Linked DNA regions of Drosophila melanogaster. The protein of the gene in region 1 interacts with the protein of each later gene in a pairwise test. Each region holds a gene or a part of one and is shown in the gene's direction. Other genes may lie near its edges.

The links. Proteins that work in one complex are often made in the same cells at the same time.
Region 2: the proteins of Tapdelta (region 1) and CG14380 interact in a two-hybrid assay, tested with the Drosophila melanogaster proteins (one large-scale study listed by BioGRID).
Region 3: the proteins of Tapdelta (region 1) and CG3528 interact in a two-hybrid assay, tested with the Drosophila melanogaster proteins (one large-scale study listed by BioGRID).

The regions. Positions count from the first base shown.
Region 1 is NT_033778.4:11,367,149-11,375,457, reverse strand, and holds Tapdelta (Translocon-associated protein delta), read left to right. Parts: upstream 1-4,122; 5' UTR 4,123-4,445; coding exon 4,446-4,685; intron 4,686-4,744; coding exon 4,745-5,005; 3' UTR 5,006-5,158; downstream 5,159-8,309. Other genes in the region: CG13203 (uncharacterized protein), read right to left, coding at 1-150, 1,058-1,479; CG13204 (uncharacterized protein), read right to left, coding at 5,222-6,701, 6,760-6,910.
Region 2 is NT_033777.3:13,183,926-13,192,349, forward strand, and holds CG14380 (uncharacterized protein), read left to right. Parts: upstream 1-4,593; 5' UTR 4,594-4,664; coding exon 4,665-4,715; intron 4,716-4,781; coding exon 4,782-4,961; intron 4,962-5,025; coding exon 5,026-5,301; 3' UTR 5,302-5,643; downstream 5,644-8,424. Other genes in the region: CG8508 (uncharacterized protein), read right to left, coding at 1,740-2,543; CG8141 (uncharacterized protein), read left to right, coding at 7,776-7,878, 7,928-8,424.
Region 3 is NT_033779.5:2,514,321-2,522,616, reverse strand, and holds CG3528 (uncharacterized protein), read left to right. Parts: upstream 1-4,579; 5' UTR 4,580-4,660; coding exon 4,661-4,966; intron 4,967-5,019; coding exon 5,020-5,421; 3' UTR 5,422-5,515; downstream 5,516-8,296.

The DNA.
Region 1 (8,309 bases):
GGATGGCTGCCCTCGATATCGCTGGCTCGCTCCGCTTCCAGGTCCGCGTCCGCGTCCACTTCCGGTTCCTGCTCTCTCTCGTTGGTGGCCCTTATGGTCTGCGACAGCACTATATTCAGATTAATGCGATTCTTGTCCGCCTTGGCGCTGCTGCAAACGTATAATGAATATTGTAGCTACAGAATGTAACGTTTGAGGATATCGAAATCGAAATGGAAATGGAAATGCATGAGGAAAGTGGGAAATGAAAATGGAAAGTTTCGAGTGACCTACTCCCGCCACCCGGCTAAATTTAAATCAAATTATTTGGCATTAGTTGCGGGGCAATTTATGCTGTTCTCGATTCCGAATCATGCAAGGCACAGAAATAGAAATTAACTTGGGTGTTGGGTTCCGCCACACCCACCGCGCTCGGGTGAAAGGAAACCATGTCAATTACGTTGCCAATTGGCGCCCGAAATGCCGACCGATGAAAGTGAGTCGACGAATCTGGCGGCCGTTGAACCCGCCGCCTCTGCTGCTATCAGGCAAGTTTTCCGCTTTTCAGCCAGCTATCTTGTCAGCGTTTCGAGCCAATGATCGACTTAAGTGTGCCGCCGATGGGCGGTGGGCGATGTTTTGCGTGGGAGTTGCCGGCTCCTTCCATTGGCTCCCTACTTCGAGCATGTCTAGCGTGTGTTATGCACTGGAACATAAAACTTTGACGTTTGATTTGGGCGTGAAGCATGCAAATTGCACATACAACTTGACGCGACGCCCATATCGAAAGTGTCACTTTCGGCATATTTATATAGATGATATCAGGACAGCATTTACGGCTGGATTCATAGGGCTTATTACGTATACGCATGCAGTGAGTGGTACCCAATACGCAGCAAGGTCAAACAATAGAATACCCGATGGGTTTCCATAGGTGCGACAATACCTTTCGACACTTCAGGAAAGCAATAGGCAAACCCTTACTTAAACCCTTGCCTTTAGAAATCATCTATTAGAAAATAACTGATGTGATATAACTGATGTGATATTGAGCATATCATCCAGTTGCAGTACTCACATTTTCGCCTCGGGCTGTTCCACCTGTGCAGCCCTTTCCGACTCCTGATCCTTTAGCAAAGACGAAGTTGAAGACCAGGCCACCAGACTTCTGTCCCTCAGCCGTAAGCCCTGCACCTGTGACGCCGTGATGCGGGGTGCAGTACGCGGCGCGGTCTCCTCGACGGCCAGAGATGCCTGCCTGCCCACGGGATAGAGCTTCTGGCGGATGTTCTCGATGGATCGGCCCACGGAGAGACCTCTGGAGAGGTAGCCTCTCTGCTGGGTCGAAAATCTGGACGTGGGCTCGATGAAGGAGTGCTGCTTCCGCACGGACAGCGGCAGGTGATAGCGCCCGCCGGAAGTGGATGAGGATGGGTTCACCACGGACGATGATGCGTTTGTCGTCTGGAGGCGACGACGGCTGGCCACAGACAGCGACATAGTGACAGCCAGTTTATCCTTGATAACCTTGATTAGCAACGGTGACAATGAGCGGTTACCGAAATGGAGTGAGCCCTCGATGGTGAAGAGCTTTTGGGCCGGAGTTGCAAGAAGGGTGCCTTACGTTTCAATTGCCAATCAATGTGGCACATCGAATGCAAATCAATTACGAAGTCATTAAGCCGGAGGCAATAACTTTGTCAACAAAGCTGACGGTCTGAAATGGAAACCCACAAGCGAGGCACCAACGAGCCGCCAACCGTGAACCGTGATCCGTCACGAAAGCGAAAGCCACTTTGCAAATGCGATCCCCGTCTGGCCGAGATCGAGGTGGCTTCCACGTCCACTTGGCTCGAATGCCCTGCACCGACTGCGTTTTGTGAATGAAGAATTTCGGACTCCGAACCGGAATCGGAATCGGAATCGGTTTTTTTTTGGGTGGGGGGGGGAGGTTCGTTTATGTTGCCAACAAACAATCAACAAAATCGCAACGTTGGCAAGGAGTCGCCTGTTATGCTGGCTCAGGCTCTCCTTACAGTTCGGTTCTTTGTTCCATTTCCTGCTCACACCCACACGTCAGACAACCATCCACCGAAGCACACTGAAAGAAATTGGAGTGATCTAGGAAAAATTAAAAAAGGTAATGTCCCTTACAAATGAGCTATTATACTCGATTAGTAAATGTATCCTGTTAATAATTGGTTCGTTTTTTATATGAAAAACTTTTAAAAACTTAGGTTTATTGTAATATTTATTTTTGCGAGTTGTTGAAAAACTCCCAAAATTAAAATATTGTAGAATATAGAACGCCAAAATTTGGCTTATACACAATCGCGCCTGCTTCTATGTTTGCAATCTAAGTACCAATTTCGTTTCCGGTCAGAGTGCACTTTATTTTGCCCAATGCATCCGTCGATCCACCTGCCAACCCCGGATCAACCCACTCCTCCCCCAAAGACACGTGCAATTCCGGTGGGTCTGGCAAGTTTTCGACTGCGACTCAATGAACCCGCACGAACTTTTGTTTTCATTTGCGAATCACCCACCGAACGCCTCTTAATCGAAAGGATTACGGCATTTTTGGCAAATATGCAAATCCGGCCATGAATGAATGAATAGTAGCCAAAAAAAAGAAGCAGGAAAAAGGCTGGCAGAGTGGTGAGAAGAGGGGAGGAGGAGGAAGGAGAAATGCGTACAAGTCGCTCAATGTCAGCAAAATGTTAGATGCAAATTCAGTTGTTGCCGGTATTAGTATGAGTATGAGTATCTGTATCTGCGGATGGGCAACCGGATGGGATGGCAAGTGAAAAACTTTCACATTTGTGACAATTTCAAATTCATCAAAGACATGCAAAGTTCGGTGGAAAAGTTCCGTGCGCGGTGGCAATCAAAGGAAAGTAACGAACATAGCAAAATGGAGCCGATTCGAACGGTGGCGGCAAACACAAACACAAAATGGCATAAAACCGTAAACAAAAAAAGCAAAACCAAATCAGGCCCACTTCAAGGTCACATCCGCATACATTCGTATGCCTGTTAGCCAAAGTATTTATACGATAGTATCCGATTTTCCGATTGCCAATAAAATGTACTTAAAACAAAGCTGAAAGCCCCATTCCAGTTGGATGGGCATTAATCACTGCCACCAGTCAATACTCGGTGCTTATGGCCCGACTTTGAAGACTCCCCCAACGATTGGACAGGACTCCCGTTTCCTCTGACACTGCTGCAATTCGAAATCAATTGCAATCGAAGTGCCATAAATATTGGACTTAGTCGTAACCGATCACAGAACGGTACCATAGCAAAACTGTCAGACGAAAACTTATTTTAATTAGAAATGCAGTCGGTACGAAATTACTGTGACTGGAACGGCCTGGACTTTATCTATTGACTTTAAATTAAATAGATACTTACATACATATTTTAAATGAAGTCAGCCCAACGTAAATGTATTGCAAAAGGAATCCCCTCAAAGACGTTTTAGACAAGGAACTTTGGGTATTTGCCTAAGTACAAATTAAGCCACCAATTTGATCAAAGTTCACTTTGATGTTTTTAATATCAGCGCAATAGCGATCTAAAGCAGAATCCTCCAAAGTGATGGATTGCATTCGGTACTCGATCATAGCTGAGCAATTTTTCCTTAAAACATTACAATTTTGTATAAATATAATTTAATAAGAATTTTAGTCTTTTAATCAAAGTAAGACTACAAAAATTTAACCTGTTGGTGAAGAATTCTATTTGTCATTATATTTTTATTTATAAATTTAATTTAATTTATTAATATTTAACTTTAATATAATTGTTTTTTATTTAAAATTCGATATTTTCAAATTATATATTTGAAATTGAAATCGCTAGAAATTGAATTGATATGGGAGGAAATTAAGTCTACATATCTCAATGCCCCTATAATTAGGAAAGATTTATTTTGACAGGACTGACATCATTAGTAATAACTTTATTCCAAATAAAATGAATCCCATATTTTTATATTTTTTATGTATACGCACTTATTTTTAATACTTGTATATACAAATTTTATATGAATTTTATAACATTTACGTATACGTACTAATTGCTATCATATTCGAACGACAAACATTCCCGGAGAAATCTTAACATATAGATGTCATTAGGAAACTACAAAAAACCGCTTTCTAAAACTGTATTTTTAGATATAACAAGTAAAAAATCGGAAAAATTTACCACGGGCTACTAGCTATTTTGTAGCTATTCTCGACTGAGCGTTGCCATCCCTGGTCACGACCAGTGTGACCATCGAACTGGTACGACTTCGGCAATTTTCGTAGCTGTCAAGTGACGTGACGTATGTATGGTGCTGTCGTGGCGTTCGCTTCCAGAGAGAAAGAAAGTCGCAGGTCGCCGAGTTGGATAGCCGTAGAGTTCCGCCTATTCCATTGATTACTAAATAAAAACCACCTCATAACTTGATCAAGATGTCCCGTCAACTGTTCGCCATTTGCCTGATTGCCGCCGTTTGTGCGTCCGGCGTCTACGGTAGCTGCAAGGCCACCGTGAGCTCTTTCAGCACCCAGGATGCCACGATTCTGACCCAGCTGGCCCATGTGGGCGAGTTCACGCTGCAGTGCAGCGGAGCCGCTCCCGCCAGCCTGTTCGCCGAGTTCCCCTGCGGCAAGGTGGTGCCGGTGGCCAAGGTGGGCGACAACAAGTACCAGGTGAGCCAGTAGTAGCCCCGTCAAGTTTTGTGCAAAGGCTAATCTCTGTTCTGCACTAGGTGAGCTGGGTGGAGGATATCAAGCAGGGCAGCAGCGGCAATGTTCAGGTGCGTCTCTTCGACGAGGATGGCTATGCCAATGTGCGCAAGGCCCAGCGGGATGGCGACAAGGTTTCATCGGTGAAGTCGCTGCTCGACATTTCCGTGCCCACCAAGGGTGCCTACAAGGGTCCCTGGATCAAGGCTGAGCTTTTGGCCGCCTTCTTGGTCGGCGGATTCGCATACTTCGCCTTCACCACCAAGGGCAAGGTGCAGTCCTAAGTAGAGGATGCCTTCGTCATCGAGATTTTGAATGAAATTCATTCGCACTAAAGTCATGTACCATCAAATTGCCGGGTCCCGGAGATTTTTCCACATTTTGTACACCTAAGCATCGGATCACCCGCCGCTCCAAAATAAACTGATTGAAAGACCAACCGAAGGAACCTAGTTGAGATTAATTTAATTTTAATTTAGAGATAACTTGTACGAATACGCTTAAACCTGGCCCGTGGAGGGCGCTCCATTCATGGTCGCCTCCTCGTCGGAGGAGATGTCTATCATGCTCTCCACACGCGACGGCGACATCACATACACAAAGTGCTCCGTGGAGCCCTCGGGGCCGACTGGCGGCGGGGGTATGACCACGGAGCCGTCCTGCGGCGGCGGTGGCGGAGTATCTATGCTGCAGTACTTGAGATTCCCAGCTCCTCCTCCGCCTGAATCATCCGGCGGTGGCGCTCCACCGTTGCAATCAAAGTTCTCCAGCTCTAGCTCCAAATCACTGACGATTCGCATGCAACGCATCTTGGCGAGCGACTGGAATTTCATGGGCATAGCTCGCACCTGCCGCGCCAGACTCAAGAAGAAAAGAGTGTTTGCGTCAAGTTCTCTGTTGGCCTGTAGCACGGCAGAGACGTCCCAATCGCTCGGAAAACGCGGATCGCAAATCTTACGCGTTTTGGCGGGCGACGGCTGTTGTTGCTGTTGAATTTGTGGCATTTGCATTGACTGCTGCTGCTGCGTTTGTACGGAATTCCCTCCGGAGCAACTTAGGTTGATGGCCGTGGTTTGCGGCGAAGGTTGTACCCTTCGCACCTTGGAGGCTGGTGGCGCTGGCGGCGGCGGCGGAGGAGTGGGATTACCCATGGGTAAGCTCGGGCAGCTGCCGTTCAAACGATTGGCGTTCTGCACTTGGTTGGCCAGGTTCTGGAACAATCCCAAAGGTGCTCCAGCTGCCGCAGCCGCTGTCAGTTCCTTCTTGAAGTTGTCCGCCGCCGCAAAGAGATGCGGCTCGATGATCAGACAACCGACATTGCTGTTGGTTGCGCTGCCGGTGCTGCAACCAGGCGGCGTGATCGTAGGTGGCAGGGGAAGACCAGCAGCCACTGCCGCCGCCTTGAGCGTGGCTAGCGGGAACATCTGCTGGGCCAGTCCGCTCACGCCCAAGCCCATGGGCAGATGGTTAGCCAGAGAGGCCAGGGCATTTGCATTGGCCTTGCTGACAGCAGCAGCTGCGGCAGCGACTGAGGATGCGGGTGAGATGGGCAGGGGCAAGACTACGGCGGAATTACTGCCACTGGTGGCAGGTGGAGTCATCGAACTGAGCGGTGCCACTGCAGCACAGTTTAGACTTCCGGTTGCACTGCCGTTGCTATTGCTGTTGTGGATTTGCGGTCCCACGGACCCAGAACCTCCTCCTGTTCCGCCCAAATTGCTGCCTGGAGAGATCATATTCGGGGGCGTGGTCGCGCCCAAACTTGATGTTATGCCGGACGCCGAAGTACTGCTTAAAGCGGTAGTATAGGTATTAACCGTGTGCGTCCCCATGGATGAGCAACCAGCCGATGCAGTGGCAATGGTTATCTTCAGCTCATCCTCGCCTCCATTGCTGGCCGCCTTGGCCAAAACTTGGTAGCCAAAATCACACTCTGTGTCGTCCTCGTCGTTGGATTTTCCATTGCCATTCGCGGAGTTCCTAAAACAGATGATCAGTTCGGCGATTGTACAAATGAGCTGCAATGTGGAGTACTCACCTGCCCGGTCCCTGGAAGGGCTTTAGGAAATCCATGTGATCTGCATGGGCCCAGTACTGGTACTTCTTGGATGTCTTTGTGCCTACGCGAAACGAGCGAAGATACTTTGTATAACTGTCCCTTAGATTTTTCCATTTCCGTTTCGAGGCCTCTAAAAATCAAATGCAATAAGAAAAAATTAGATGTTGATAATTGTGGTATGCAACATTGAAAAATCGGAAGTGTTTTGTTGAATATTACTCTCAGTCGTTATTTAATGATTAAGGATAAAATAAGTTTTAAGCTTAGACCATCTCACAAACTTATCGCTGATTCTATTATCAGGACTGCTAATTTTTAAGGATGCGGCTCAATACGTTGTCAGCTACCAAAAGCATATTTCAACACAGATTTAAATATTCTTTTAATTTTTTCCATTAGCCCATGTACAAATGTATAGTGGGGTCAAGTTTAAAATTTAAATTTCGGACAGTGTGACCGCCGTTCATGACCAACGAAATACTTAATCAGCGAATGCAGTTTGGAGTTTTTAATAATATAATTCATTAGAATTTGCAATAAGCGATCTGCTCGCCAATATGGTGAATATAAAGCCGCAATCAAAAGAAATTTAATCGTGATATTCTGAAATTCAATTCAAAAAGGTATTCCTATCATCTGAATTGCTCGTAAGATATTATAATAGATTAAAAAAAGCATTTACACACGTTTCATTTCTAAAAATTATGAGACTTTTGTATATTGTACACACATATAAGCAAAGCGATGCTTAGTATCTTCTGGGGCTCTTATTGGAAGTATGCTCCAAAAGCATTTAAGTTATGCTAGATTAAAATTAATCCCAAATTAAACCGTCGTGGCGGTAACAAATGTTTAATGTTTACGAGGGGAACTAAAGAATACATGGTGCTCTATTTAGACAAAATACACATTAAAATATAACTAATGTATGATATTACACATTTATTTATGTTTGACTAAAAGTTAAAATAACAATTATATAGGCAATATTATAATATAATAATAATAATAATATTATTAAAAATTGCAGCACAGGTGGTTGCTTGTTTTGGGAAAAAGTTTCGCACCTGGCAACACCGTGCGCAATGTTTTTGTTTTGAAAAGCTCTCGCCAACCCACTCCCACAACCGCCCCTTCCGGCCTGTTCACTATCTTTCTCGCTCTTTCTCTCAGCATCAGAGAGCGCGCAGTTTTCGCTCATCGACTGTTTTTGTTTGTTTTTTCTGCGTGCCAGTGTGTTTTCCTTATATTTTTTTTGTTTCTGCTTCTCGCTGCAATTTGCCGACCGCACTCCAACTGACATACACACACACATATGAACGTACAGTTTCTATATACATATGTATATGTACCAGCGTACGAAAAATATCAGGCCGGGCGGTTTGAGTTTGTCCGCTTTCAGGTACATATACAAAGGTTGTATATATGCATATACATATGTATATACAGTGCAGCAGTGTGCGTGGGTTCTACGTAATTCAATTTCCTGCGCCTCCTTCTTATTTGCTGGGTGGAAGGGGGTTTGGTGG
Region 2 (8,424 bases), on another chromosome or scaffold:
GGATTATGAATACTTTGCTTGAATTTAGCTGACAGCAGAAAATTATTACACAATGATTAATATTTATTTGCCCGGGCCACTGAGCAGCAATTCCCGGCGGAATTTCTGGCCCAGAGTTGAGTTGAGTTGAGTCCAAGAAAGAGGCCACAACAAGTGACAATGTGCTGAATATAAACATTTTCTCCGACCAGCTACTCCTTGCGAGCAGCTCAAAATGGTATTTAATTCAGATTTATGCCTTGCACGGCATTGTGACAGGACGAAACCAGCACAAACACAAACACAGGGCAGCGTGTCCTGCGAAAATTATGATATTTGCCGGCCTCCAAGGCGCTCAGTCTGTTTGCCTTTGCCTGATAAGCTATCGAACAATAAAATAGTCTCGGCCTTGATTGGGGTTCGAAGTTTGCGGCCAAGGCAAATAAGGATATGCGCAAATAAAATAGCAATAAATCAAAACGATTGACGATCTCATGATGCGGCTGGCCTCAGCGATTAAGGCCTCAGTACCGAGATTTCGTCCCATATAAATAAATCGACTTGGGGTCGAAAAGTGATTTTGATTGTTATTTGTTTGCCGGCATCGGCATCGGCATCGGCATCTTAGTTAGCTCGCCTGTCGACTCGCGACTTGACAAGCAATTTATGGCGATATATTATATAGAGGCATCCATAATTTATGCCCAACTGCAGGAGAATCGCTGCAGCGGAAGTGCGAATCGTGAATCGGGAGCCAGGAATTCGAAGGGAAGCTGCCACTGTCAATAAGGAAACTTCATTATAAATTACCCAACTGACAGTTGCAGGCAGACGCCGGAGAATAATAATAATGGCAGTCCCGGCGAAAGTTAAAAGCCAAAGAAAACCCTCCTCCCCCCTTTGTCCATGAGGGCTATAAGCTCTTACCCAGCCCGGAGATTGTTTCAATCTGCTTAAGCGACCAAGTCGATGTCGGAATCGAAGGACCTAGCTTTTTGGCCCCCAGGCAATCAGGCATGCAACCAGATCTCCGCCAGATCCCAGCTCGACCCCTTCTGCCGTCCGATTGTTGTGCTTAAAATTGCTGAATAATTGTGCGGAAGTTGGTAGTTGTTGCATTCTGCGATGAAAATGGAAAAAAATGAACATAAAGTGAGGGTGGTCCATGAATCACATAAAAAACAAATGTCGCGTCGTTAGGCTAAAAGCTTTATGCAAATTTTCCATTGCTTCTTATCATATTCTCTTTGCCGTGCTGCAAGCTGAATGGAAATTGTATTGAACAGGGGATGAGATTGCATTGCGGGCTGGTCGATATGTATATATATATATATAAGTCCGATATCGGGGGGTTAATTGGGTGGACGGTCATTGTTATGCAGCTTAGGTCAAGTGTCTGCAATTAGGTGCAATTGTTTGAGAGGAAGTGCCATTTAGTTAAGCATTTGAACATGTAGGCTACTTACCAACCCCTTTTAAGAGCATTATTATTACTGCAACAGCAATTCGAACGCTTATTGAATCGGTTAGATTGGGTCTACTAAATTAAATCACATTACTTACGTTTAGGAAATGGGAATGCTTACACGAAAAAAAGTTGTAAATACTGTAGCATTATTTTAGCTTGTACATAATTTCATAAAATATTTATAATTTAAGACAAAGATTTAGTTAACGAGAGGCACCTAACTTGGAAAGCTAGTTACAAATTTTGTTGTTCTAAATGATTTCCTTGATGGCGTTAAAAAGCAAGATGATCTTTATACCTCTAAATCCTCTAGGACGTCCTGAAGCTCGGTAGCTACCCCCAGATCGTCGTCGTGATCTGATTTTCCCGAGTCCTCAGCCGATTTATCCACATTGCCACCCACCAATCGATCAGTATCAATACCAAACTTGAGTTCAAAGGGAAAACTCAGCTTGGGCACCTCGAAAGTGTGCATGTGGTAGTCGTAGTTGGTCTGCTCTTCTGGCGGAGCCGGGCAAGCGTGTTTAGCTTGAGGATTTCTATCTAAACCAGTCTGATGCCCCTCTTGTTCGGGATGCATATAGATGGTGTGTCCCGCTCCCGTCGCATTGTAGGCGTCATTTTCGGTGATACGCTTTGTGGAAGTATCAGGAGTTATTTCGGTATCGTCAATGAGTATGTTTATATCAATGGGCACGAGCATGTAGGTTTCTCCAGTACTTTCATCGGTTTGAATTTGGCTTAACTGCTCGTAGTCCTCGTCTGAAATGCAATCCAAATTTATTACATGGTCAGATTTCCAGCGAGCAATTTCCTTGGCGTCTGCGCGTTGAAACTTATCCGATTCCGAAGATCCAGTAGCTACTCCATTTGAGGTAATCTTAAATTTGTATAATAGCGGTTCTTTGAGCTGGACAAAAGCCTCTGGCTTACCAGCCTCCACATAAACTTGCACTTTATCCAGTGCATTGGCTATGAAATCATCGTTTGATAGCTCATTCCGCTCCTGCTGGCTTTCGTCCTCTATTTCCTGTGCCAGCAACTGCTGAAGCTTGATCATTTGCTCCTTGGTCAGATTGAGATCCTTTAGACTCATCGTTGCCCTGTACGGATTTAGGGATAATATATATTAGTAATGTACACAAAAAAAATATGATGATATTCGGAGTGATAATAATAAGATTGCGATAATGACTAGAAAATAAAGATCACTAGATATGGAAGCTGTGTATAAAAGTTTAGTTATCATAATTTCCTTTTGATTTTATAAAGATACTGTATGTCTTGGTTGCCCAAAATTACCAAAAACCCTATTGTATCTCATTAAGTATATAATATTTAAGAATTTTTGGCGAACATACATGTCAAACTAGTTTGCCAGTGCACTGGTTTCAAGATATGAATTGCTCTTCTGGGCTTCTATTCTATTGTTTGGAGAACGTACTTAAATTCAATTATTGTTTAAACACATCGAGAGACTTACCATCGTAATCTGAGACAAACAGTTGCTGATTGCCCTGAGGGCAGGGGTACAATTAAACAGCCTTGTCCGCACATTACCGCTCACGTTTTATGGCTGCCGTTTAAAAATATTGAAAAAAGCAGGGCAGGCACGAAATTGAAATGCCTGCCAGCGGGCGCAGCTTTATTGGCACCCGTCGACCAGGAGCCGGGGCATTATCCTGCAGATGGCTGCGGTCACTGGACATTAGGCGCTGGAGGACAACCGGTGTCCGTCGACAAGGCCAGGATCATGGCAGAACGGATACGGGCATTGTACATGAGATGGCGTCATTAAATACACATTACCCTGCCGGCGCAGGACGAACTCAGGAGCAGGAGCAGGAGTAGGCGACGGTGGAGTGGAGGCAGTCCGGCGATAAAGGCACAACAACCGCCGAGCAACAGTCGGCCAGCAGGAGAATGGCTATTAAAAAGCAGCCCGGGCCGAAGATAGACATGGTCGGCTACAGTGGCAGACATAACAAATTACACCATTTCGACAGGCGGTTCACAACAGGAAGGCAGTGCTGTTGAAATAGACTTTCCTTAGCTATTAGCTAAGAATATCAAGGATATTATGTATAGAGATTAGAAGCCAAATATATTTGTAAGACATTTACCATATCCATAAAACTGAATTTTAACAAAATAATTATAATATTCTCACGTTTCTTTATTTGCTCTAAAAATTCTGATTATGTCTTTAACAATTATTGATCAATTTTAATAAGACAATCGATCCTTGCATTCAGCTAGATAACCAAAGCTTTCTTCATTTTATATATACTCGAGATTCCCTTTGAAATAGCTATTTATTCTTATCTGCAATCGCCAGCACTGGATTGACACTATGGCCGGTGGTTCGATGGTTGGTGTTCAGTTTCAATTGTGCTGGCAAACGTGACTCCAAATTGGCTGCCGGCGAATAATTCATACGAAACACTTTCGCACCGTGCGCCTTGCCATTAGCATCGTACCACTGCCCCCACCGTCGGATGACCACCCACCTCCCACCACCCACTGGCACCCAAAGCGCCCACTTCGAACCACAGGGTAGCCCATGCCATGCCCCACGTAACCCCACGATTGCATTTACAGCAAATTATTTATGGCTGCGACAGACACGGAACAGGAAGCGAGTATGCGCTGCCAACTTCACGTCCATCAATATTTTATGAAACCCTGTCTGCAGAACGCTCCGCGCTGCTCTCAGCCGCCGGAATGGATGGGTTGGAGTCCTCGGAACAGGACGAGGGTATCTGCTTACATGGCTGCCTTGTGCCTTCTGCCGGCTGCCTGGCTGTCGATATCCGGTAGATGAGTATCTAAATTGCCTTTACTGTTGATGAATTAGCGCCGGCTGCCTGCCGCTCCCATTTGTGTGGAATGGGTGGCATTGCAAGTGCCTGCGTGGCGCAGATAAGCTTCCACGATGGGTGCAAATTTCAATTTGTTCTCGATGATTTTGCGCTCATCAAATAGGCCGGCAATCTAGGAAGACGGGAACACGACCTTGTTCGAAAGGATATGAAGTGAGAACAGAGCTACAACAGCAGGGGATTGGCAATTCACCAAACGGATGCACCTAAAATTACTCCATCATTCCTGTTGGAATAATACACATTAAAAATGAGTAGTAGAAAATGACTTATCAATCCTTGAGTTAAACATCAGTAACTGTTGCAGTATTTTTAAATTACCAGTTACGTCCATTATGTTACTCTCCCGCAAGGAAATCGTATCGTTATTGCTATTCCTCACGGCGGTTAGTTGCACCTGACTGCCATCTAATATCTGACCTTGTGACTCACCCCAGTCATCTGCTCCGCAGATCATTTCCGTGCTGAACGCGTCGGTGTTTGGGAACGTCCTGCCCCTCCACGTCAGTTATGAGCAGCTGGGCCATCAAGTGGTCTGCGTGGGAACTGCCTACATTTGCCTGATTTACGCCATGAGCACCTGGTTATACCACTCGAATTATTCCAGGACCCGTCTGCACATGCGATTGGTGGTGGGTGGTCGGCCAAATGGAGGTGAAGTCTAATTTCGAACATTTAAATATCCCATTTTTGCAGCTGGTGGCCATGATTTTGATTATGATACTGTTTAACTGCGCTTCTACCTACTACTTCCTAACCGGCGTTTCATTTTCAAAGCTAGGAGATTCCATGGAACTAATTTTCCTCTTTAGCAGCTTTGCAATGGCCTCCAAATCGGTCAGTTTGAGCATGTCGGCCATCAGCGTGGTGATCCTGATCGTGATCATGGTGTTACTCATTGTGACAATCATTCAGTCCCATAGAAGACACAAACGGGACAGAATGCGTTACCTCGAGTCGCAAAAGCAATAAACTCATCCTCATTCCCGTGGGAGTGCACATTAAGTTTGGTTTTTATGCAACGCCAAACATTTCATGTCGCTGCAATGTGGCGCCGTAGCTGCAATAATATAAATATTGCACTCGTACCTCGTTTGGCACAGACAGACACGAACTGCTCACCTCCTTTATTTTTTCACTCATGACACACCGATTCTGTGTGTGTGCTTTCTTCGCAGGTGATATGAAAAACATATACGAGTGTAAGAGAATCTCTGTTATTGTTTATCCAAGTCGCAGTGGGCATGCCCTGCCTTGAGAATAATTATACAATATATTTTTGTAATTCTATGTAATAAATGTTAGTTAATAGGGTTGAAGTTTGAAATTTTCTTTCTTTCCAAGATTTTTACTCATTCTGGGTCTTAATAATTTGGCATTACATACATTTTCGGTACCTTTTTTTCTCGATTATGAAAATGCCATCAGTGTATGCAGTGTATGTGTGAGTGCTTGGGCACCATCAGGGCCCAAAAAAATACCATTCTGGCCAGGATAAGTCTGAACAGTGCAACTCATAAGGGAGACAAGCAGCCTCTTCACATCGGCTTGTGTACCATTGCATTTTGCATAATGAAGCCGGCAGACAGTGCACTTTCGAGCATCAGACAAACGAAGTTAGGTACGAACTTAAAGGCTTGCCAAGCTGGAAAAGTTAAAGTTAGCTTTTTGGCACAAGTAGTGAGAAGGGGTTGGTAATTTGGGTAGGGGTTTTTAGGAGCGTTGTAGTAGCCTAATTACGCTCCAATGGCTGCCCATCAAAAGTGACAGTTGGCAAGGCAGGGGCTTACAATAAAATTTCAAGTTAAGTTATTGCCGCGCCGCTGGCGAGAGCTACGCGAATACTCAGTTGAAAGTAATTCCAAATTTAATTGCGCACAATTTAGAATGGCGAGATGTTGGCGTGCGTTTAATTAACTGAAAAATAACATAAAAAGCAAAACGAAAACAAAGCCCAATGACAGCCGCGGCGCCAGTGGAAATGCTTAATGTTAAATGCCAACTAATTAAATTTCGGGCATGCCAACGAAGTTGACTGGAGTTGAACTGCCGAATTTATTGTTGCATTTAATGGCCAGCGCAGGCGGTTATCCTTGTGCCATCGCTCGGCTTTACCACTTTTTATTGCGTATACGCTGGGGCACCCCCATTACGTATACGCAGTGTATTACGCCCCTCCACTCACAGCAGGCAAATGGACAGGCTAAAGGATTCGCTTTGTGGACAGGGATATAGGATGCCAAATGACGCAGAACCACTGGCATTGCGATTGTAATTCCGATTGGGCAAACGTCAGTTTCTCTGCGGTCCGTCGCCAAATGAAGCCAATAAAATGTCCTTGTTCGCACGCAAACGTGCGAAAGTGATTCATGTAAACTGATAAAAATTTAATCATATTTCACGTATTAACACGTAATTATTAATGCCTGATAAATGTCGGCAGTTGTGTAATATGTGAAAAAGTCGCTATTAATATGCATTATTTTCCGCTAGTTGTTATTTCACTGGGTAAGTAAAAAGCGCACGGTGTGTCCACAAGCTTCGGAAATACTTTGCTACGCATTACCATATAATTATAGTACTTTAAAAATATTTTATAGATGGTCTTAAAAACTTAAATTTCATTATATTTTACCACGCAACACTCCCGCTTGTTTTTTATTCAGAACAAGAACAGGTTATTTTACACCACTGCGTAATAGTTCTTTATTTAATTCTGTTCGAGTGTGTAATTTCGCTATGAAACTTCACTTTTATTATTATTGTCATTGTTATGTGTGCGAACGCCTGTCGGCGGGTTTATTTGGACCGTCCCGCGCTTTATTTTCTTTTAATTATGTACTCAGCTCACAAATGTGGGTCAATTAACAAGCAGTCGATGGTCCCCATCGATGTCGAAAAATCGGGATTAAACAATGCCGCAGACGTGCTGCCAGGACAATGCAAACAATTGTCAGAATTTAAATGCAGCGGCAACGGACCGCGAAGTTTCCACTCACTATCCGGTTCAATTTTCGCATAAATTATGCCGCCATATGTCACACATCTGGCGAATGCTACGAATTTCGATTTTCCGCCGTTTTTCCGGAACTGTCAAATGCTCGGCGTGTGTAGTTCGCTGTTTTGCAATTCTTGGACGGAATGCTGGAATGGTTTTAATATAAATCACTAAGTGTCTGCAAAACAATCAAAATCTGGCATGAACTATGTTACGGTGAAACTTAGTCATTAATTAATATGCCCTCAAATTTAAGTCGCTGAAAATGTCTTGCTTTTCATATAATCGAGAAATAAAATTACTATTGTACCTAAGATCTGTGTTAAGAATATTATAAAAAGTCGCGTTTGCTTTGACTCAGTTGTCACAAATTTGCCAGGCACAAATTTATATTTATGTAATTTGGAGCATGGGTTTTTAAAAACAATAATCACAAAAAGATTTTGAAATGGAAGCAGTTGCTAGAGAAAATGATCCACCAAATCATTGCTATATAAATGAAGAAGTTCCAGCGAATGAAACTGCCGAGAATCCTAGTCATGGCCTTCAAGGTGAGGCATTCCAATTAAATGGAAAATTATTAATGTTCAAGGTGAGCAGGTGAGGTGATTTCAAAGGGTTATATACCAGACTTGTCCAACGCAAACGTCAATCAGCAACAGCAGCAGGAAAATGATGGCGAAGATGACCTCTTGCCTGGAACTAGACTTCGCTACCGTCGCAGGAATTTGCATCTGGATCCCTATGTGTGCAATGAGTGCAACCAGTATGTGCGTGGTGGTGTGATCACCATCTGTGGTCATTTGTTTTGCTGGACTTGCCTGTGGCCCAAATTGAGTGGTACAGCACAGCCAAGATGTCCATGCTGTCAACGACATTTGCTCATGTACGAGGACATCATGCCCTTCCATGGAGAGGGACCCAATGCCCGTCAGGAGGATAATAATGTGCCGGCCCAGCCGGGCTCAGTGCCTCGCCCGACGGGACTGTATCTCTCTGATACTGATTTTCCCTGTTGGTTCGCGGTCAACGATCCTGTAGATGGGTGCCCAGCGACTTTCCCTGATATTCGCAGGGAGAGGGATCTTCACTGCGCT
Region 3 (8,296 bases), on another chromosome or scaffold:
CAAAATTGTGTGCGGTTAACTGCAAGGATTTTCCAGCTCGTCCGACCGACGACTGTGATGTTGGTCAGTCATTACGAAAGCGTTAGGGAGCAGCAAACTTGCGGGCAGATAACTTTTCTTGGTGCCAGAGCAGATTTTAATGATGTGGCTGGGTTATGTTTGTAAAGAACTTGTAAATTATTTTTCCAAAAATAAAACATCTTACAACGAAAGCTCTCCGCTCATGCAGTAAAGATGATTCATTTGAGTTGGAGCAAGTCTTTAAGCTGCCCAAGGGAAAGCCGTAAAAATGAAGCGACGTGATTCGTTTTAATGAAATTCACAGATGATCTCTGATCGTTTCATGTGAAACACTCTTACGTTTAATCCGCTCTACAAATACCTATTAATGTCTGCATACCAATACAAAGTGAATACATTTTAAGCAGATTGCTGGAGACTCAATTGGCCATAATCCTTTTTGGGCAGCAAGCAATTCGATTTAATTGGCTGTACGACAACAATGTCCATTATGAAAGGAAATTACGTAAGCACGATAACCATAACCACGTAAGCGCATCCACGTCTCATGTGTCGCCGGCAACAGCGCCACGTAATCGCCAGCAAACTGCCTATCAATTGGGGCGGGGGGCATTGGGCGTTGGGCGATGGGCGATGGGCGTGGCTCCTACACTTCCGACTTCCGGGTGGCAAAAAATTAATATGGCTGGCATATGGTGTACACGATTTTAATGGGCGACATGACGAGAAACAGGCAACATCGGGCGACTAACAATAGACATGACAAGCGACTGAGGAAGCGGCAGCAGATGTTGGATGAAGTGCCACTCCCACTTCCTCCAGCCGCCCCAAGTTATGTGCTCTAATGTTCCATCAACATGTGCTGCTATTACTGGTAATCGCCAACAGGCCTGTTTACCGGAAAGCTGGATAATGCCTCATAATGGTTGCTTACCTTAAAGAAAGGGAAACAATTTCAAAGTTCTTAAAATATGTAAATATTACGCAGCATGGTTAATAACAATTACATTTAATTGCATAAACTTTTGTTTAATGGGAAAGATGATACATCGCTATTTATTTAACCATATAAATCAACAGGCACTTTAAATCATCAATGGGGAAGCAATAAAGTAGTCTTTGACAAATATTCGAAACGATATTCATATCGTTTTTATGGTCACAATGAATGATAAAAAAATGTAAATCGAGTAAATAATGAATTAATAAACTAAAACAAGAATATTAATTTGTAGTGAGAGCTGATTAATTTTCACGTTAATGAGATTTAATACGACTCTTTAAAGGACTCTCCGCAAAGCGGCTAGTTATTCCTGTCTGATACCCGAACCATTACGCATACGCACTGTGTACGCCATTAACGGCCATTTCACATTTCCTGCTATCGAATTTCCGGTTGGGAAGTTTCCCAAACAAACCAAGCCAAACAAACCGAATGCGAGCCATTGAAGATGCTCACGTTCGTGTTGATTACACAAAGCCCTCGGCACGGCAGTTTACAAGAAAACAAATTAATGTTCTTTTCCTTGGCCCAATGATTACGCCGATAAGTTCGGTTTTTTACACAGCCTTCAAGTTGTTTTTCCCGGCAGATGAAAAGTAAACAAGATGACGCTGGCGGTGTGGAAGGAGGTTGAAAATGCTTGGCGCGTGTCTGCCGCAAAAATTGCCGGAAATTTGTTTGAGCTTTAAATTACAAATCATTATCGATGCGCATTATAAGTATTCGGCCTCTGAAAAGGAACCGGACAACGGGGCGATTTCCTACTGCCGCCAACGGCACTTGTAAAATCACTTTGAATAATATTGCATTTGGGCTCGGGCCCATTGCTGCTTTTGTCTCCCTTTGAGCAGATTAATTTCCGGCATTTACACTTAATTCCCCAGTTTCTGTCTAAGACCCAGTCCCCAAAATCGATGCAATCAGCTAAGGAGCAATTTACCAACATGTCAACGGATGGACAGCAATCGAAGCAGCCGCATTAGGCAAAATCGGGGCATACTGGGGAGGAAAGCTTTAGATTTGCACACATTACCACTCAATCTTCATATACCCAGTGTCTATGATATGCAGGATTTGAGGCTGTCCCATCTTGCCCAGTTCCCTTTTGCCCGCTTGGGCAAATCCTTCGGCCAGGACCTCGGCATGCACATGATGTCCACATGGCCGCAAAGATTTATTTACAATTGTGTTGAGACATAATTCCTTTTGATCGATTGCGGGACCACCGCTCCCAAGGGATGTGGATGTGGATGCGGACGTGGATGTGGAATGGACGGGCTATGGATGTGGCTGTGGAGCTTTGTGGTCAGTTGTAAGTGATGATTCTTTTGGTCCGTCCTTTGTCTTGGCTGCGTTTCGTTGGGCTCCATTTTCCCTGGAGAAAAGTGGAGAATGCCGAGAGAGGGCAGAATTATTTGCGCAATTTATGTGGCTTTGATTTCATTGGCTAGATGTACGGCCCGGGCGAGGGCAATTTATGGTAACTTGATAATTTGTGTTAGCATTTGCCAACAGTTCAAAGGACTCGTGGCTGTAAGCCATTTATTTGCCGGACATGTGGCACTACTACCACTGCCAAGCGTCATTATAATAAGGAAATTGCACTCCAGAGTGGCGATGGGATTACACAGAAAATCTGGGAGTTTCGTAGTTAGGGGTCTGCAAAATGAAATCAAAATAGGAATTATAAAAACCCCTTCCTGGTTGACTTGCACATGCAAGCAGTATGCTTTTCTACGCTTTTCGGCAATCATGTCCATTGTCATGCTCGAAATGTATGAATGCTTGAAAAAATATGATTTACATATCTAGAAGTTCTCTGATAACTTCAATCTATGCAACTGCTCAAGTGGATGATTGGCATGCCCTGTGCGATAATGACGGCAACTGCTCAACTATAAATTCCAGCCCTCAGTCCATTCAGCACTTTCTGCAATTGAAATGCAGTTGCAGCCAGCCGACTCATTCATCAGAAATGTGCACTTAACACATGGCAAAAGCAGCCTCGACTTTCCCGAGGCAGCATTGAGCATTGCCGCCTCATTCTTTGGTAATGCACATAAATCCTTAGAGTGCGCACTTAACTCCTTTTTATGCTGCGACAAAGTACATTTACTAATGACCAAGTCAAACAATGGCCACGGCCAAGACGCAGCGGGCGAAATGCGAGTCCTGGCAGTCCTGGCGGTCCTGTAGGTCCTGCCAGTAGACTGGCGGGAAGTGGGTATGTCGTGACTTCAGCGGGGAGCAGGAGGATTGGCCCACGAAGTAGCAATTTACGCGCTCAAGACGGCGGCAAGCGGCAAGATGGTGACAAAGCATGCAAAACGGAACAGCAGTTGTTGCCCCAAAGTGATGGAGAGGGGGGAGGGAAGGGAAATTGTGAGAAGGCTTGGGAAAATGCAGAGGAAAACTATGGAGGGGGATCTGCACGTGGAGGAGCACTGAGCTCCAAGTGTCGGCAGCGGCTGCATGTTAATTGCTGCAGCGACGACAGCAACAACTGCAAACAGTGGGAAAGCGTGTCTAAATAGCGTAAATTCACACAGACACACACCTTCACGCAGGCAAGGGGAAAATCTAGCTGCGTATTGTGTGTGGAAATTGAAAAGCGAGCTGGAAATCTGCCAGGAAGTGCAGGACATCTTACACACCCTATTTGATATATAAATTATGGCTGATTAGCAGCGGCTGTTGGCATTGTTTTAATTGGTTTACCTGGTGATTAATCTCAAATGGCGAAAGGAACTTTGAAAGTGATTTATTTTTAAGGCAGGTTACAGTATCCTGTACAATTTCATAGACTTGGGTACATTTTTTAGTTGACTATAAACTATTCGTTGCAAGTTCATCAACTGGTTACCGTTTATGTGTAAATCTGATCTGATCTGAAAGTCCTTGGGATTCATAGGGCGATGTGCGGAACACTAGGTGTCACTTGTTAGACTGCTAATCCTCGACAGTGTGCGCTCAACGGGATATCAGGCGGAAAAGGACAAAGAGCGCTGCATACGCACAGGCTGAAAATGCAAATTTTCCCTTTGGCTGGCTGGCAGTTTAAAATGTTGATGAAGTAATTAGTTTAATATGCGAAATGCCCCTGATGGGCGGCGGGAGAGGGCGTGGCACATAGGGAAGTGTAATTGAAAATACTCACAGTTCTGGGCTAAAAGGGACAAGGGCACAGTCGGGGCTTGGGCATTGTGAAACTTTTTCCATTTATTAAATTTGCCACACGAACAGCGCAGCGGATTCTGCCAAGGGAACTCTATGTGGGAAATGTTTAATTATTTGTGCGCACATGAAATTAAAGCTGTTACAAATTGTTACAAACCATTCCGGCTATCAGTTTCTCAAACAAATTTCAATTAAGATAAGACTTTTTCACGAGTTTCGAAAATTAGAAGGAATATTTTTTGTGCTCAGCTACTTTCATTCGAAATTGAATATGAGAACAACTCTGCTTCTTCAGGCCCAGCAAAAGTTTTGCCTTTTGAGCCAAAGTTGGCAGTTTGTTGTCAGTAATGTATTTTGCTCGAACTTATTCAAAATATTATACATTTTGATTTACACGAAATCACAGTTTTCTTGCCATTCAGCAGCTTTTCAGTTTTAGTTTTTTGAGTTTCGCGCGGAATGAATCTGATTAACTTTAATCATTACCAGGACTATGTAGACAGCTTCATAACCATCCAGGACACTCGCTATTTGGGCAACAAAGAGATCCAGAGGAACCTGATCCAGAATGCCTGCGGTAAGAATTGCCTGGGTAATCTGCTCACCCGCGAGCAATTCTACCAGCGGAAGGAGAAAGAGTTGGTGCTTCTAAAGCCAAGGGGACTACGAGGACTCCAACTTTTTGGAGACTACTTGAACAACAAAGATGAGGTGCTCCAACAGTTTGCCAATCGAGAGAAGAAGCTGCTCGAAAAGCAAATTTCGGTTAGAAGGTTACATTTATGTGTAGTGAAATGTGTACATTTTGTAATTTTTAGACCGTCGTCTACCTGGTGATGCGTTCGAAGAAGGGTCTAGAGATCTCCAGCTTTCTGGACCTGGAGCAGAGTCTGCGCGAGTCGCGATTCGAGAACTCTACAAGCTGCGTAGACTGGCGGGCCATTTTCGAGGGCAGAACGAAGCTGAGGCCATCGAATCTGCATCTCAGCTACTTCGACTGGCACCAGAATCGTGTGTCCTTCAACAACAGCGACAATTTCCGGGTGTTGAACAAGAGGCCCCACAGTCTGCTGCTAAAGCATGTTGGCGATCACAAAATATTCTGTGTGAACGCCTCCTGCGATTGCGAGCACTCGAAAAATGTCAGCCGCAAAACGTATTTCTCGCCCATTTATGGATATGTCATATTCTTCGACCACATAATCAGGCGCATTAATTAGCGACGGCTTTAAAGTGTCAATGAACGTAATCGTCGTTAAATGAAATGTGCAAATAAATCGAAACGAGGGCGCATTTGTCGCTGACAGCTAACGTAAATTGCTTTTCATATCTTATCAGTACAGTTCTGGTCGCAGTTTTTGATGGACGTTTCGAGGTCCTTCCGCCCGGCGAGTCCTCCGTCCATCAGGCGGCGGAAATTACCCGAGCTTTATGCCACTTTGTTGAGTTTATCGCAGTCAGGGAACATCAATTGCATAAATCTATTAACTGTCGCCCGGCGGAATGGGGGCGTGGTTGAGCCTTCAACTTGACCAATATGTTTCTGTTTGCGCATTTGCCATTGTTTGCCAACTTGCTTGTGTGGGTCAGCTTATGACGCTTTGTTAATTCTCCCAACAGTGTGTCTGTTTAATTGGCCTTTCCACTCATGCAAATCAACTTGGCCAAAATTTACACAAGGCTGAAAGGAGAATTTGCTACGGCTTACACATTGGTGGTTAATGAGTTGAAAATATTAGTAGTCAGTCTTAATAAAAATTATATGAATACAATTAAATCCACTCTGTTGCCCAGATACCATGTTTTTGGAGAAGCAAATTCAAATAAATATTAAATACGCCTAAATTATGATTTAAGTGCCACATGCAGAGGCAGTGCAATTTAATTTGCATATACAATTAGCTGCTAATTTACAACTTTTAGTCTCCACTGGGCCATGGCTAAGTTCGCCCAGAAACAATTCAATTAAAATAAACATTAAGTGCTGCAGCCTCAGCTGCATTTGCCCAGCCAGTGTTCAGGTGCAAATGGAGGTCCTGGGTAGCAAGGATAAGTAATATTCCTCCCACTGGCGGACACAAAAGTCCAAATAAATATTTGCTCGGCTTCCCTTAGTCAAGTCCACAGAGCCGTGAGCTGGTCTATGTGTCTTTGTTCTCCATTAAGATATGGCAAATTTGTTGCCCCCCAAAAAAACAAACAGGAGGATAGAAATTCAGAAATTCCCTTCGGCTGGCATTGAGATTGCATTTTACGGGCCAAATAAATTTCATACGATATAAACTACCAATTTGCCGCCAGACTGCATTTTCAAGACCAAAAGCCCGCGCTGCCAACCAGCCTGCCTATATATTTCGATTAACAAATGGATAAAATAATAAAATAATTGTGTTATATATTCCCCACCGTGTTTTTGCGATTGTTTTGACAAATTTCACCAATGATCATTGAGCTCTATTCAAGCCAATCAGCCGTATACAATTTAGACTTTTGACCAACGCAGTCAAGTGGCTTTCATTTAATATTGTGAAATCCAATGTATAAATTATGAATAAACATAAAGTCTGCTTGTGGCCAATTTAATTGGGCAAATGGCAAACAATAATGAAAATGAATAATTTAAGTGCTGGTGGAATTGATGTCAAAAAGCTCATGGTTATTTAAATGAAAGTGTGCACATTCAAATAGCCCTGAGTCATTCCAAAGGCAACGAGTTGCGCTCCATTCTCTGCAATTCCATTAGTTTTTTAACAGCAAAAACTCATTTTAACTAATGTATACATTTTTAATGATTTCCCGCTAACCAAAATATATTTTCCTCTCTCTATTTTACCCACATGTATATTAACGAAACTGTGCAAATTGAATATACATTTTCCCTGACTAGGCGCATTTCAGAGTGCCTAATGAGTATGTAGATCCTGTCAGCGTTGACTTGCTGTCAATTTGATTGGATTTATGCCTGACCTGTGGGTCACACAAGCCGGCAAATAATTTATGAGCTGACCCACTAAACTGGCCGCCTGCCGGGCCATATGTTTCATTTGTTATTGCTGGCTGGGCACAAAGAATATAATATTTCATAAGGTCGTAAGCTGTCGCAAAAGATGGCTAATAAATAATTTAGGCACTCAAGATTGGACATCTGGCGAAGTTACGTGCGAGGCCAAAACCCTTTCAATCCCCCGAAAATAAATACATAAAATGCCGCCATAAAGAAAACATCAACGGGCGGAAGTCGGGGAAAATAAAGTGAGGACTGAGCGAAGGGCATATTAAATTTGGCTGCATGCCGCAAATGCCAAGAGGTCCTTTCAAAAAGAGGGGCCTTTTTGCAGGCAAAACAACAATCGTAAAATGTGACCAATAATGAAAATAATCAAGAAATGAATTAAATGAAATGTTGCGCAGCAAATGAAATTTTTGTTCCACTTTCCGTCTGCTGCTGCCAGTTGCTTTTCACGGATTCTGGCTGCCATAATGAAAAGAGCGGAAAGTTCGTGAAAAGGTGGCACGAACTTGTGTTAAAATAAAGAGACGAAAGTTTTCCATTACAGACAAAATAAGTTATATGATAAAGAAACAAGTAAATAAGATTAAATAACTATCAACATGATTTCAGCCCTTAATGGAACCTAATAAAATCTGTAAGTTCTGAGTGACACTGCATTGCTTAGGCTATAAATATAAAAATATATTTTATATACATTTTTATTGAGCCAAATATTCCATTATTGGAAGCAGCAAAGGCAACGAAATTACAATGAAACTAGTAATGAAATTCATCAAACAAAATCGGAGTACGCTCAATAGGAGTTGAAGAATGCTGTTTTTCGAATAATACGCATACGTCATGAATGCAATTGTGCAACTTAATACGAGTTTTCATTCAATTGGGAAACAAAACCAGCAACAAGAATGGCATGCGAAATAAGCCGAATTTATGGGCCAAACAAAGGCTTATAAACCACAAATCAAAATGCAATACAATGCGCCAAACAGGCAGCAGCAGCAGCAACAACAATTGCCAGAATGTATCAAGTTAAAAGCAATTGTGAATTTTCTAACTGAAGTCATATTGTCTATACATTTATC